3 linked regions of the Nothobranchius furzeri genome follow. The protein of the gene in region 3 interacts with the protein of the main gene of each other region in a pairwise test. Links are inferred from orthologs where the notes say so. Each region holds a gene or a part of one and is shown on either strand. Other genes may lie near its edges.

Region 1 (3,651 bases), on a different chromosome or scaffold from region 3:
CAGACACAGCGGTCACTCACTGGGTGTCGTTTGGGGACGTCATAGACCCCCTCCTTCTGCTGACTGGTGGGAACCTACACGTTTGACCAACACATTCAGAGAGCAGCCAGAAGAGCCAGTTACCTCAGCATCACGGGACCGTTCCAGCATTTCAACACGGCCAACACAAATCCCTTCAGGAACCAGATCACTAGCTAGTCCTGCTTCTGGGTGTGGGCTGGGACGATCGGGATTAAAATCAGTCGCGTGAAGGCTCATCTGCTGGGTTGATAAAGGCCTTATCCAGCCTGCTGATCACAGCCACAGACATGTAATAACTCACAGTGTCACATATGTTGAGACATGTAATACCTCTCGTCACACGGCCAGATAGTTTTGTCTGTGTGACACAGATGATGTGATAGCATGGCGCTCGTTTGAATCATAACAGCTCCTATTGCTCCTCCCTCTGAAGGTCGGGCTCTGCTGTTAACTAATCAGTCTGAATGAAAAAGATCCTGCTGATGAAAAACGTGGACATCTATCCAGCACGTTCCTCCTGTCACTGCCTTGTTTACTTCTCTCTCATGTTTATTTCCAGAAGCTGCCATCTTTATTCCTACATCAGTCCCTCTGTGGCCGGAGGCAGGCTGGGGCTCACGTTGCTCGAGCCTGACGTGTAAGTCGGGATTTGCTTGTAAGTGTGTTTGTTTTGGTGCACGCGCCAGCACTTCCCCCTATTTTCAGTCTGTTTTATTTTCAATCTGTTTTATTTAAAGATCAAACGAGAAGCTGGTGATTACCCCCCCCCCCCCCAGCTTTCTTTCATCTCCTCGGGAAAGAGGAGAGGGGAGGTGCAAAAATGAGGGCCTGCCTTCCATAAGGGCCAAGAATAACCACTGCATCCCCTCCACATGCACCTCCCCCCCTTCATCCCTTGGAGGTGTAACTCGTTCTCGGAGGACTACACCCAGAGGACGAATCATCTCCCCAGACTAACTAGCGTTAGCTGAATCGGCACTTGGGAAAGCGTCGGCTGGGAGGTTTCCACAGATTTATAAAGTCTTTAATTTCCTGTATCCTCTTTTTTATGTGTTAAAAACAGAAGCAATTAATTTTATGTGCGGGCCACATTACATTTATCCCATTAAAGAGTAATGTAGCTCGTAGAGATCAGCCAGTAAATGAAGATTAAATCTTTGTAGCTTAAATGCGTTTAACTTCTCGTCAGCAGTTTGGCCACAGGAACTGTAGTTGAAGCTACATAAGACACAAGCAAACAAAATGAGCTTGTGAGTACCTGATAAATGCTCTCTTCTGATTGGTCACGGATGGGTTCGTGTCCCGCCTCAAACACAATGTACTAAAGCGTCAGCAGCAAAGAGAAGCAGGAGGAAAACAGGATCATAGAGAGAGAGAAGTGGTTAAGCTGTGGAGGTGATTAGCAAAAACAGCATCGTCAGTAGACTCCCATTAAAAGGCAGTTAAAGAACAGATCTAAGTGACTCGTGGAGACGACTTCAGGCAGCAGGAAAAACAACAAACAGTAGGAAACGAACACGTTTTAGCTGTGCATGCGCTCACTGAGACACAGACTCACGAACTCTCCTACACGAGAAAAACATCTGCACAACTACCACACCGAACCCAAACAGGAGCTGTCTCCCCACAGTGCACACACAGAGGAGCAAGCTCGAAGTGCAGCAGGTGACAGCAGCGATGTGATTGGTCAGGGAGTTACCTGGTAGACCGGGTCCTCCAGATCCTCCTCCAGGATTGTCTGCATACACGCGCCGGCAGGAAGGAGTGGGAGAGATCAAAAAGGGAGGAAAAAGAGAACAGAAGAGAGAAGAGTCGGAGAGTTAAAGAGTAGGAGGAAAGCACGGAAAGACCTCCCAGCATTCCAATAATCATTTAGCGAGTATTAGAGGAAACACGGGAAACAGAGAAATGAAACGGTGGACAGTGAAACATGCACTGTGTGTCACAGAATAAATCAAAAAGTAGGTGCTCCATCACTCCCTGGTATTTCAAGTCTTACCTGATAGGACCATTAGGAGATAAACCATAAAGGTGAAATCTTTAAAAGTACCTGGTAGACCGCCTGCTCACACTGCTTGTCTTTTTGGGCCTTCTTCTCCATCTCCTCCCGCTGCTTTATCTCATAAATGAGCTGGAACAGGTCCCGCAGGTCCAGAATCACTGGCTCAGCCTGGGACGACAAGAACCCATTATCCACACTGTACCCAACCAGAGCACAGGCCTCATCAAAAATCAGACAGACGCAGTAAATATTTACACAAGTTAAGAAGACATAGAAGAACCAGTGCTGCTTGGTGACAGAAGACCATTTTCTGCTTGAGTTGTGGGCATTGAGTTAACCAAATCATACAGGAGGAGCTTTTCTGAGCATGTGCACCACAAAGTTCAAACGCGTTACAAACTAAAGTTTTTTTAATTCTTCAAAGCACGATGTTAGATGCTTTTTATGAAACCGTTGGTTTATGTTCAGAGATTGTGGAATTATAGTCGTTTTGATCTAGAAAACAATGTTATAATTGTAATATATAACGAACATCCCCAGACCATCACCAGATTTCTGAAGGACTGAATTGAAGCCCAGTGGGCGGTTCCCACCTCTGCCATCGTGGCCATTGAAAGTGGGGATGTGAGGGTAGGGGCAGATGAGTGACACACATCAAACTCTGTGTCGGTGTAGCTACGAGCTAACAGAGCTAACCGAAGCTAACGGAGGGTGGCGGACGCTTTTAGCCAGAGAATCACAGTTGAGTGACTCTGCTGCCCTCTGCCTTCTAGACTGTAACTTTTAACGTGAGGCTGAGACCTTCCCTGGAGCAAGCGGGGGGGGGGGGGGCAAGCTAGTCTTGGGCGGTATACCGGGTCATACTAAAAACCAGTGTTTATTTTGGTTATGATATGAATTTTTCACATACCGCTATACCGGTGAAAGGCCTAAACAACGTACAGAACGTTCTTAGTAGGAAAGTGTTTCAGCGGGGACTCATTTCACTGCTACACACAAACACCACAGCGTGGTGAAACCAAGAATGGTGGCTGGCGGCTGGCGGGAGCTGTCACGGCGACATCAAAACTTCGAACGCAGAAGAACTTATTCCAAAAAGAGGAGCCACGTCTGTTGTTTGGAGGTTTTTCGGGTTTAAAAGTTCGGACGTGGAGCAAACAACTTTTATATGCTAATGCTGTCGAGCAACGGTGGTAGCCGGCGGGGGTAACACCAGCAACTTGCTTCATCACCTCAGCAGAAAACTCCTCTTGGATTACCAAGCATGTCTCAAGCTTCGATCTGCACCCTCCACCTCCAAGGCTAAAACGGCTAGTAGCAGTCAGAGTCAGACGTCCATTAAAGACGCGTTCGCTAAAGGGACTGTATTTAAAAAAAAGCAAGCGGTGGGTCGAGATAACCAACGCAATAACGATGGTTAAATCATAAAGATGGTTAACTGCACAGATTATATGCAAAATGTGTTCAATAAAAATAGTTTATTTTGACTGCAATATTTTATCGTTCTAGTAGTTTTTTCTTAACTGCTTTCTTTTGACAAGGATACTTTGAGGGGGTTTCTGCATTTACCTGCCTGTGACTGGACATGGAAAAACTGGTATTCTGCACATGAAGGTAAAACGGGCCAT
Region 2 (4,250 bases), on a different chromosome or scaffold from region 3:
ATATTACATTCCATTAGGTGATATCAGTATTGTGGCATGGCCAAGCAGCCTGAAGAGGAAGGCGTATGGAGTAAGGGAGGGTCTGGGGAATCATCTGGGACGGGGGTACGGTTTAGGCATAAACAAGGAGGGGAGTAGCTGCTGTTACCAGATGGTATAACCTCCACTGGATCCGCCCAGGAAGAAGTTGTTCTTGCGCTGTGTCATGACAACATTGGCACCCTGCATGGCAGCCAGCTGAGCTGCATTAGGGGGGTGTCCAGGGGGTGGGGGCTAGAGAAGAGGAGAAACGAGCTCAGTGGCAGGTTAAGAGTTACAAAGGCCTTGGCTACAGGTTAAGTCACTCCGTACTCACTGGGATGGAAACACTGCTGCCAGCTGTGAAACGAGCTCCAGCATCAAAGCCACCGTCCACCATCACTGTTGAACCAGGGGGGTAAACAGCTCCCATGTGATAGTAAGCCATGGGAACGTTCTGGCCCACCGGACCAACGGGCATGTGTGGCTGCATGGGCATGTACACCTGAGCACCAGGGTAGGGAGAGGACATCTGAGGCACCTGACCAGGCACCTGAGGTGGAAGCACGTATCTGGGCTGGTATATCTGCATACAAAGACACGAGAAACAGATTTAATTGAAGAATACTAAAAAAAAAAAAAAAGCTAATCTAGGCTTGACCTGTAGATGCAAGCGTTACCTCAGAATATGCAGGTGGTGTGTCTGAGTATGGAGGTGCCTGAGGAGACATTTGCATAGCAGGAGGGTATACAGGTGCAGAGCTCTGCTGAGGGTACACAGCCTGCTGTGGGTATGAGCCTGCAAAACAACATTTCACTTTTAAACACGCACAGCTGAAGAATTATGGGATGAGAACCGTTTCATTATTACTAGGGATGTAAGAAAATATCGATATGGCAATATATCGTGATATTTTTCGCAGCAATATTATATCGATATTCAAAAGCTGTGTATCAGAAATATCGATATGGCAATATATCGCGATATTTTTCCAGCAATATTATATCGATATTCAAAAGCCGCATATAGGAAATATCGATATGGCAATATATCGTGATATTTTTCCCTGTGATTATTACATTGATATTCAAAAGCCGTGTATCTAATTCTTGAAAGAATGCAAACATGCAAACATTTGTGTATTTTCTTTTCGTTTTGTGCAATTCAATCGCCACCCGCTAGTTGGCAGCAGTGTGCAACGGGTTTTGTTTCCACCATTGAACTGTAAATCCCTCCATCATGGTTCAGATACCTCATGTTAAACATGTTACATATCAGTTTTGACTGTTTATTGAACATGCTTATAATAAATTCAGTAAAAAATAGCTTGTAACGTCTGACTGAATGTATCGCAATATATCAGGATACATCGTATCGTCTCCCCTGTATCGTGATATGTATCGTATCGCCAGAATTACAAAAATACACATCCCTGATTATTACTAATGACTTTGACTACTAACATTAAGCTGCAAGTACTTCTTCTCAATCATCATCATCATCATAAATAAACTGATGCTGCTTCTGAGTGGAGATGGGAGGGAGCTGATTACATTTACAGCTAAATACATGAAATTATTACTGATGTGAACGCAACTACTGAGTGGTACACGTTACAGAAAATCCCAATGTCTTGTATACTGAAGCTAACGTTGGTCTTTTTCGGGTACAACTTTGAACGTTTCTACATTTTACAGACAAAAGAACAAAAACCAGATTTTGACACAAAGTGTCTTTAGGTCCAACATTTGGCGGCAGTAAAAGAAAGAACAATGTTTAAATATTGATGGAAACATGTTATTTAATATCATCAGGGGGGATTTATTTAAGCAACTGAAACTGTTGTGCATAATTATAACAAACTATGTGATGACTGTAGCAAGTCTGTCACTGCCAAGAGAGTTTCTAGTTTTGTTTTGAGTGCATTGTATGGCAAACAATACCAGGAAACTAGACATAATCACTTTTCTCAGCCCAGACAGTATAAGCAAAGGGTAAAAATGTATTACTTGTAAAAACACAAGTGAACGGATTAGAAATTAATAAAATGTAAATGGAAGATTTTATTATAAAGCCGAATCTGATTAACACAACGCACAAAAGCCTGGTGGTTAGTAAACAAATGTGAATTTTACATTTTCTTTGTCTTTCCAACATGACAAATCGACCATCGCGCATTACAGTTTGAATAAAATGTCTGCTTCTATTTTAGCTTTAGTGAAACAATTAATTCAGTAAGAAAAATATCATGAAATGTCATTAGCATTAGCCACGAACAAAGATGTCATGCTACAAAAAGACAATCTAAGCTCAAATAAGACAAACAAAAGAAGAAATAAACAACCTGGTGCATTTTTGCGCCGAACAGGTCTAAAAACATAAATGTAACCGGGATGTTCTTTGTTAACAAGAACTCCCCCCCTCCCCAACAAAAACAGGAAAGCCATGTCAGATTTGCTTTTATAATCACGTTAGCTTGCTGGAACACATCTGACCGGCCCGTTTTGGTCAAATAACAAAATGTGAAACTAAATTCGGACATCCGACGTTAGCAATATCCAAGACAGCTTGGTTCGGAGTGTGCGTCAGTTTATTGTTATGTACGTAGCTTCAGTTGGCCACAACGCGAGCTCCTCGTCTTTCCTTACAACGCCAACGTCAAGTAACGAGTAGCTAGCTGGAAAATGAAACACACGACGGAGAAATACCTTTGTTATTCATTGTTGTGGACTGATTCGGAGGCTGAGGAACATCAGATTAAACGGCGCTTTGTGTATCTTGTCTCGGCCTTATAATAGCTTACGGCTTGACACTTCCTTGTTTCTCAGCTTCTTGTTGTTGTGGAAGTGGTTACGTCACCCGTTCTTTATCTGCGGTCGGACGCACGCTCAGTTTCACCTGCACGCGCGCGCCCCCTTCTGGAGGAAATGAGATTTGTTTTTAAAGGAATATGAAAAGCACAAAAAACCCTAAATATTAGCTAAACGTAAAATGAAATTAATACTTAAGTGCGTACTACAATCAGTGTTGGGCAAGTTACTTCAATACTGTAATGCATTATCTATTACTTGTTACCCTCATTTTAAAGTAATTCATTACATTACAATATTACTGATTTTAAAATGTAAGGCATTAAACTACTTTTGAACTACTTTAAGTTACTTTCAACAATACAACTTCAATATGAATCTGGTAATCTGACGCTCAGTGAGCTCATGACATATATGTGGAAAGTGATGTGGTGTCTGAGCAAGCCCCCACAATGCAAGAGCAAGTCTATGGAAACCCATTGTCCATATATGTATGTCGATGTGTCTGAGCTAGCTAGGGTTGCTGTTAAAAACAGTCAGATATAATAACAGTGCTTTAAAATTATTGTTTATTAAATAAAAGCAACAACAATCTGTACTCTCAGCACGCTGCCATCTTATATTAACTGAGCATGGTGGGGGCTCCAAGCCTATATTTGCCTTGGTCCCCAAATGCCTTGATATGGCCCTGGATGTGGGACTGACTTCTGGGGTGATCTGATTCTATCACATGTATAAATATTAAATGCTTATATATTATTGCTTTTCACTGGTAAAAATGTGTATTGGGGATAAATCTACCTACTTTTTTCTTTTGAAGCACTTTGTTTTGTTTTCTTGATTTTATTTGAATAATTTCCTGCCCTTTTTCTCTCTAACCTTCCTGCATGCTGCATGTTTTCTCCGTCTTCCAGAAAAACTGTTCCCTAAATTTCTTACTTTCTAACTAATCAGCCAAAGGGATCTACCAAACCCACAAAAAAATAAAATAAACATTTTTTTAAAAAAAGCTTAATATTCGTTGCGCTCCAGCAGCAATAAGTTGAAATCACCGGGGCACAGATTATGAAGTCAGCTGAAAAGTACATGAAGTACCAGAGAATATGGACTGATATAAACGATCGCACACGAATTACTTTGTTTTGGTCAGAGGCGTGTCCAGGGAGTGGCCTGGGGTAGCACATGCCACCCTTGGAATCTGATTGGCCACCCCAGGTGCCATCACACTAATTTACCTTTAAATAGGCTTTTCATTGTCCACAAAAGGCTTGGGGGTAAAACAAAAAAAGCATAACCATTGGTGCCACCCATGCACAAAGTTGTCCCTCAACTGGGCCACCCCATTTTAAAAGATATGGACACGCCACTGGTTTTGGTGGAGCGATTTTGTGAATATAACAGCGGCCGCGCGCAGGACGCAG
Region 3 (3,651 bases):
AAATCAACCAGCAGGAGGCAGTAGAGGTTCAAGCAGACCTTTATTAGGCTTTTTCTTCAACGCTTTGTAACGCTACAGACACGATCCTCTATCACGCTCCTACCACACAGAGTCACGGTGTCAGTTAACCATGCTAATTCAACCCACTCCACAGAACACACATCAACTTCCCTGTGGCTTACATAACACTCCCACAACACGCAAATCAGCACATAGGAACTAGCAGAACGATAGGAAACACATATAACACAATACCCAGAATGCACCTGGCTTACAACCCCAGCCAGGTCATTACACTATCAAGTTCAAAGAGAACGTGCTGATTATGCTGCAGAACACTCTGGAGAGCAGCAGTAGGGGGTGTATGAACTAGTCAACTTCACTATAGTGACTTTTTATGCCTGTCGTCGACTAGTCGCTGTCACGTGATAATGACCGGCAAGATGCAGCCCTCGGAAAAGACAGCAGTCTGCTGTCAGCAGGTGACAAGCTCCTGCGCTCGGGGGTGGGGGCAACGCGCTGTGCCAGACCGTAGGTACTGACACGCGATCGTTCATGTTGGTTCATTTCCTTTAATGTTTTCTGTCTTTTATTTGCGCCTGATGCGTTTGCTGCATGCTGTGGAGCGGGGCGCTGCGCGCATCACCTTGTCCTCCGACGCACTGATCACTGATACGGCCGACAAACAGCGAGCACTCCGCTGTTTTTGCGGTCGGTAGATCTTTTAGAACTGCAGTTCAAAGGTAACTCATGAGGTGGATATATATGAACCCAGGTAGCAGTTTTTCTTTAGGATTGAGAGGAGATGCAGGAAGATAATAAACAGACAGGACAGAAAAATAGTCAAATAAAAACAAGTTAGTTTTTGTACCTGCTGTTGCAACAAACAGCCACCATTGATGGTCATCAGAAGTGAGGAACAGAAAATGAAATAATTATTTTAATGTTTAGAGCAGCAGGAACTCCCGAGAGGCTGCAGGCGCATCAGTGAGTTTGCGGCCGCTGCGCAGGGGGAGGGGGGAGAGGGCTAAAGCAGGGGGAGGGGGGAGAGGGCTAAAGCAGGGGGAGGGGGGAGAGGGCTAAAGCAGGGGGAGGGGGGAGATGGCTGAAGCAGAAACTACCGTTGTTAAAAGAAATGTGTTTAACTTTGAAAATGTGGGCGCAATTTTAATTGTCAAAAACTCCAAGGAACATTAGTTCATTTTGCTCAAATGGAAATAGAGGCCTGCCTCTAATACTGGCCCTCCTTCCAATAAAGGCCTGGAGCTTGATGAGCTTGAGTCAAATAGAGGCCCGGGCCTGTATTAGAGGATTTACGGTAAATGTCCCAGGTATTTTGCGTGCAATTTTTCCTCACCAATATCAGGAATGCCTTCGTCCTCTTCGGATTCACTGTTCTCCGAGTTATCTTCATCTTTATCTGACTGGGAGTGCGGCTCCAGCACCGTGCTGTCTTCATACGTGTAACCGATGGCAACCTTTTTCTCTGCAAGTCTGCAAAACAAGGGAGAGGATTTGTGAATGAAAGAGCAGCTCACATTACACAGCAAATAACGACAACATTAAAAAACAAAGATTATGAAACCACTTTAACATTTACTTACTTCTTCTTCTCTTCCTCATTTGGCTTCGACAGGCCACCGTAGAGCTCGTCCAGGTAAATCTGGTACAAACACTGCTCCTCCGAGACTGCAGAAAGACATCAGAGGGTTAAAAGGCAGAACACAACAGCAGAATATTCCCACTGAGAGCAAATTAAGTCACCAATAATCGCCAAATCTGCAAATGTACAGATCTGTATGCTTGCACTAAAAATAAAACTGGAATTCTGACAAGTAAATACTCACTGGTGGCAAAGTCGTTTTGTACTAGGCCCCTGTAGCGCTCATAATTACACTTCCTCTCCTCCATGTCCTGCTCTGGGGTGCTGTATGAAAAAAGGAGATGATTAGATTTTTATTTTGGAAAAGAAATAGTATCATAAAAGTAACAAAACCTGAAATTAAAGGTCTCGTTGTTCTGTCACAACACTTTAAATAAACTAATATAAGAGGAAAGGAGGCATTTTTCTTCCATAATGTCCACCAAACAGGCTCACACTGTTTAAATGTAACGTGGGTAAAAAAGTCTTTCAGACACTTACGATGTGCTGAGCAGAGGAGGGGTGTAAGTTGGGATGTAGTCCAGGTGAGCCCTCACATCAAACCTGTCAATCATGTTGTTGGCATCTCCTTGCCAAGGCATCCTTTAAACAGAACAGAGGAGGGAGGCTTATCATCACATTCTCAGTGCTGTGGTTTTAAGTCCATGCAGATGATTCTTCTCACATGTTTGCTGGGCTCTCTGCAGCCAGCGCCACCGCAGGATCCAAGTGGATCTTGTAGGCTCGGCTGTGAACTTGGAGGAACTGAGCCGGATCTTTTTTCTGTTAGGAAACAACAAGAGCCGGTTAAACACAACAAATTATCACACTAAAGACTGATCATTAAAAGATAAGTATATTTAAACAAAATATGTGTTATGTGTTGCTCAGCTAGATGACAAAATCTCTCACGATCTTCTCATAGTACTCCCTCCGGCGCTCTCCGCGGCGTTTGTAGTCCACCATCATGCCACGGAGCTTGCGCTCATGTTTGCGGGCCTCCTGCCACATGACGGCACCGCTGGGGGTGGGAGCGCGTCTAGGCACGGCTGCTGCTCAGGGGTGAACGGGAAGCAACACAAAAAAGAGCAATTAGGGATATACGTTATATCGGCATCGGTCAATGTTCGTCATTTTTGAACATAACGCATCGGTCTGATATGTGAAACTGGACTGATATTCACAAACAGTAGGCCTGGGACAATAACAAATTTTGCTGCATGATATATTGTCCAAAAAATTATTGACGATAAACGATAATATTGTCGACATTATTGAGACAAAAAAAAAACACTTATGTAATGTAAATATCATAATAATGCAAGTACACACTTTAAAATGCAACAATTAAACCTTTATTTAACACAGGAAAGTCCAGAACCAAAACTTCTAAATAAAACAAACAAACAAAAAATAAATAAATGAAAAAGGATTTTCAATCTTTGTTAAAAAATATTGCACCAATAACAATAAAATAGACCCTGTCTCTCCAAAACAATAAATACAATGGCCTATCCAGTGCCAAAAACCAAAACTGCACTTCAATAATGATAATAAATAAAGATAATAATAATAACAGAGTTGTACATTTCTTAGCCTTGATATATTGATGCTGGAAATATTTAGTACATTTTCATCTATCATACGATTAATTGATTTATTGATTATCGTCCCAGCCCAAACAAACAGTATTTTTTTTCCCATCTAGTAGCCATTTGTGTATCAGTTTCAGAAGGGGGGGGGGGGGGGGGGGGGATGCATAACGGTTTGGTGATATGACAGTGACACTCATCTCAGAAGCGTAAATGTGTGTGGTGAGTATATAACAGGGACTGAAGCAAAAAATTCTCATCTGACTGGAAATTATTGGTAGGGGGGCTCACATTGTTTACACGTGGCCACTATTCAGGTTTTGATTGATTTTAAGGTCAGTATTCTTGTTTCTGAAAATTTTGGAATAGCCCGTTCACATACACAGTGTTTAAAAGTGTGGGTGTTGAGATTTCTCC

What was found.
Region 1: the proteins of clasrp (region 3) and dab1a interact in a two-hybrid assay, tested with the Homo sapiens proteins (2 studies listed by BioGRID and IntAct). The link is inferred for Nothobranchius furzeri from reciprocal best matches to the Homo sapiens genes CLASRP and DAB1.
Region 2: the proteins of clasrp (region 3) and dazap2 interact in a two-hybrid assay, tested with the Homo sapiens proteins (2 studies listed by BioGRID and IntAct). The link is inferred for Nothobranchius furzeri from reciprocal best matches to the Homo sapiens genes CLASRP and DAZAP2.

What each region holds. Positions count from the first base shown.
Region 1 is NC_091748.1:41,557,347-41,560,997, forward strand, and holds part of dab1a (disabled homolog 1), read right to left. Parts: intron 2,192-3,651; coding exon 2,072-2,191; intron 1,760-2,071; coding exon 1,721-1,759; intron 1,343-1,720; coding exon 1,280-1,342; intron 75-1,279; coding exon 21-74; intron 1-20. UniProt on the Homo sapiens protein: Signaling adapter of the reelin-mediated signaling pathway, which regulates the migration and differentiation of postmitotic neurons during brain development.
Region 2 is NC_091755.1:37,293,938-37,298,187, forward strand, and holds the start of dazap2 (DAZ-associated protein 2), read right to left. Parts: upstream 2,892-4,250; 5' UTR 2,741-2,891; coding exon 2,728-2,740; intron 818-2,727; coding exon 699-817; intron 605-698; coding exon 356-604; intron 274-355; coding exon 145-273; 3' UTR 1-144. UniProt on the Homo sapiens protein: In unstressed cells, promotes SIAH1-mediated polyubiquitination and degradation of the serine/threonine-protein kinase HIPK2, probably by acting as a loading factor that potentiates complex formation between HIPK2 and ubiquitin ligase SIAH1.
Region 3 is NC_091753.1:42,034,808-42,038,458, forward strand, and holds part of clasrp (CLK4-associating serine/arginine rich protein), read right to left. Parts: intron 2,695-3,651; 5' UTR 2,654-2,694; coding exon 2,555-2,653; intron 2,426-2,554; coding exon 2,328-2,425; intron 2,246-2,327; coding exon 2,144-2,245; intron 1,928-2,143; coding exon 1,848-1,927; intron 1,690-1,847; coding exon 1,605-1,689; intron 1,495-1,604; coding exon 1,358-1,494; intron 1-1,357. UniProt on the Homo sapiens protein: Probably functions as an alternative splicing regulator. May regulate the mRNA splicing of genes such as CLK1. May act by regulating members of the CLK kinase family.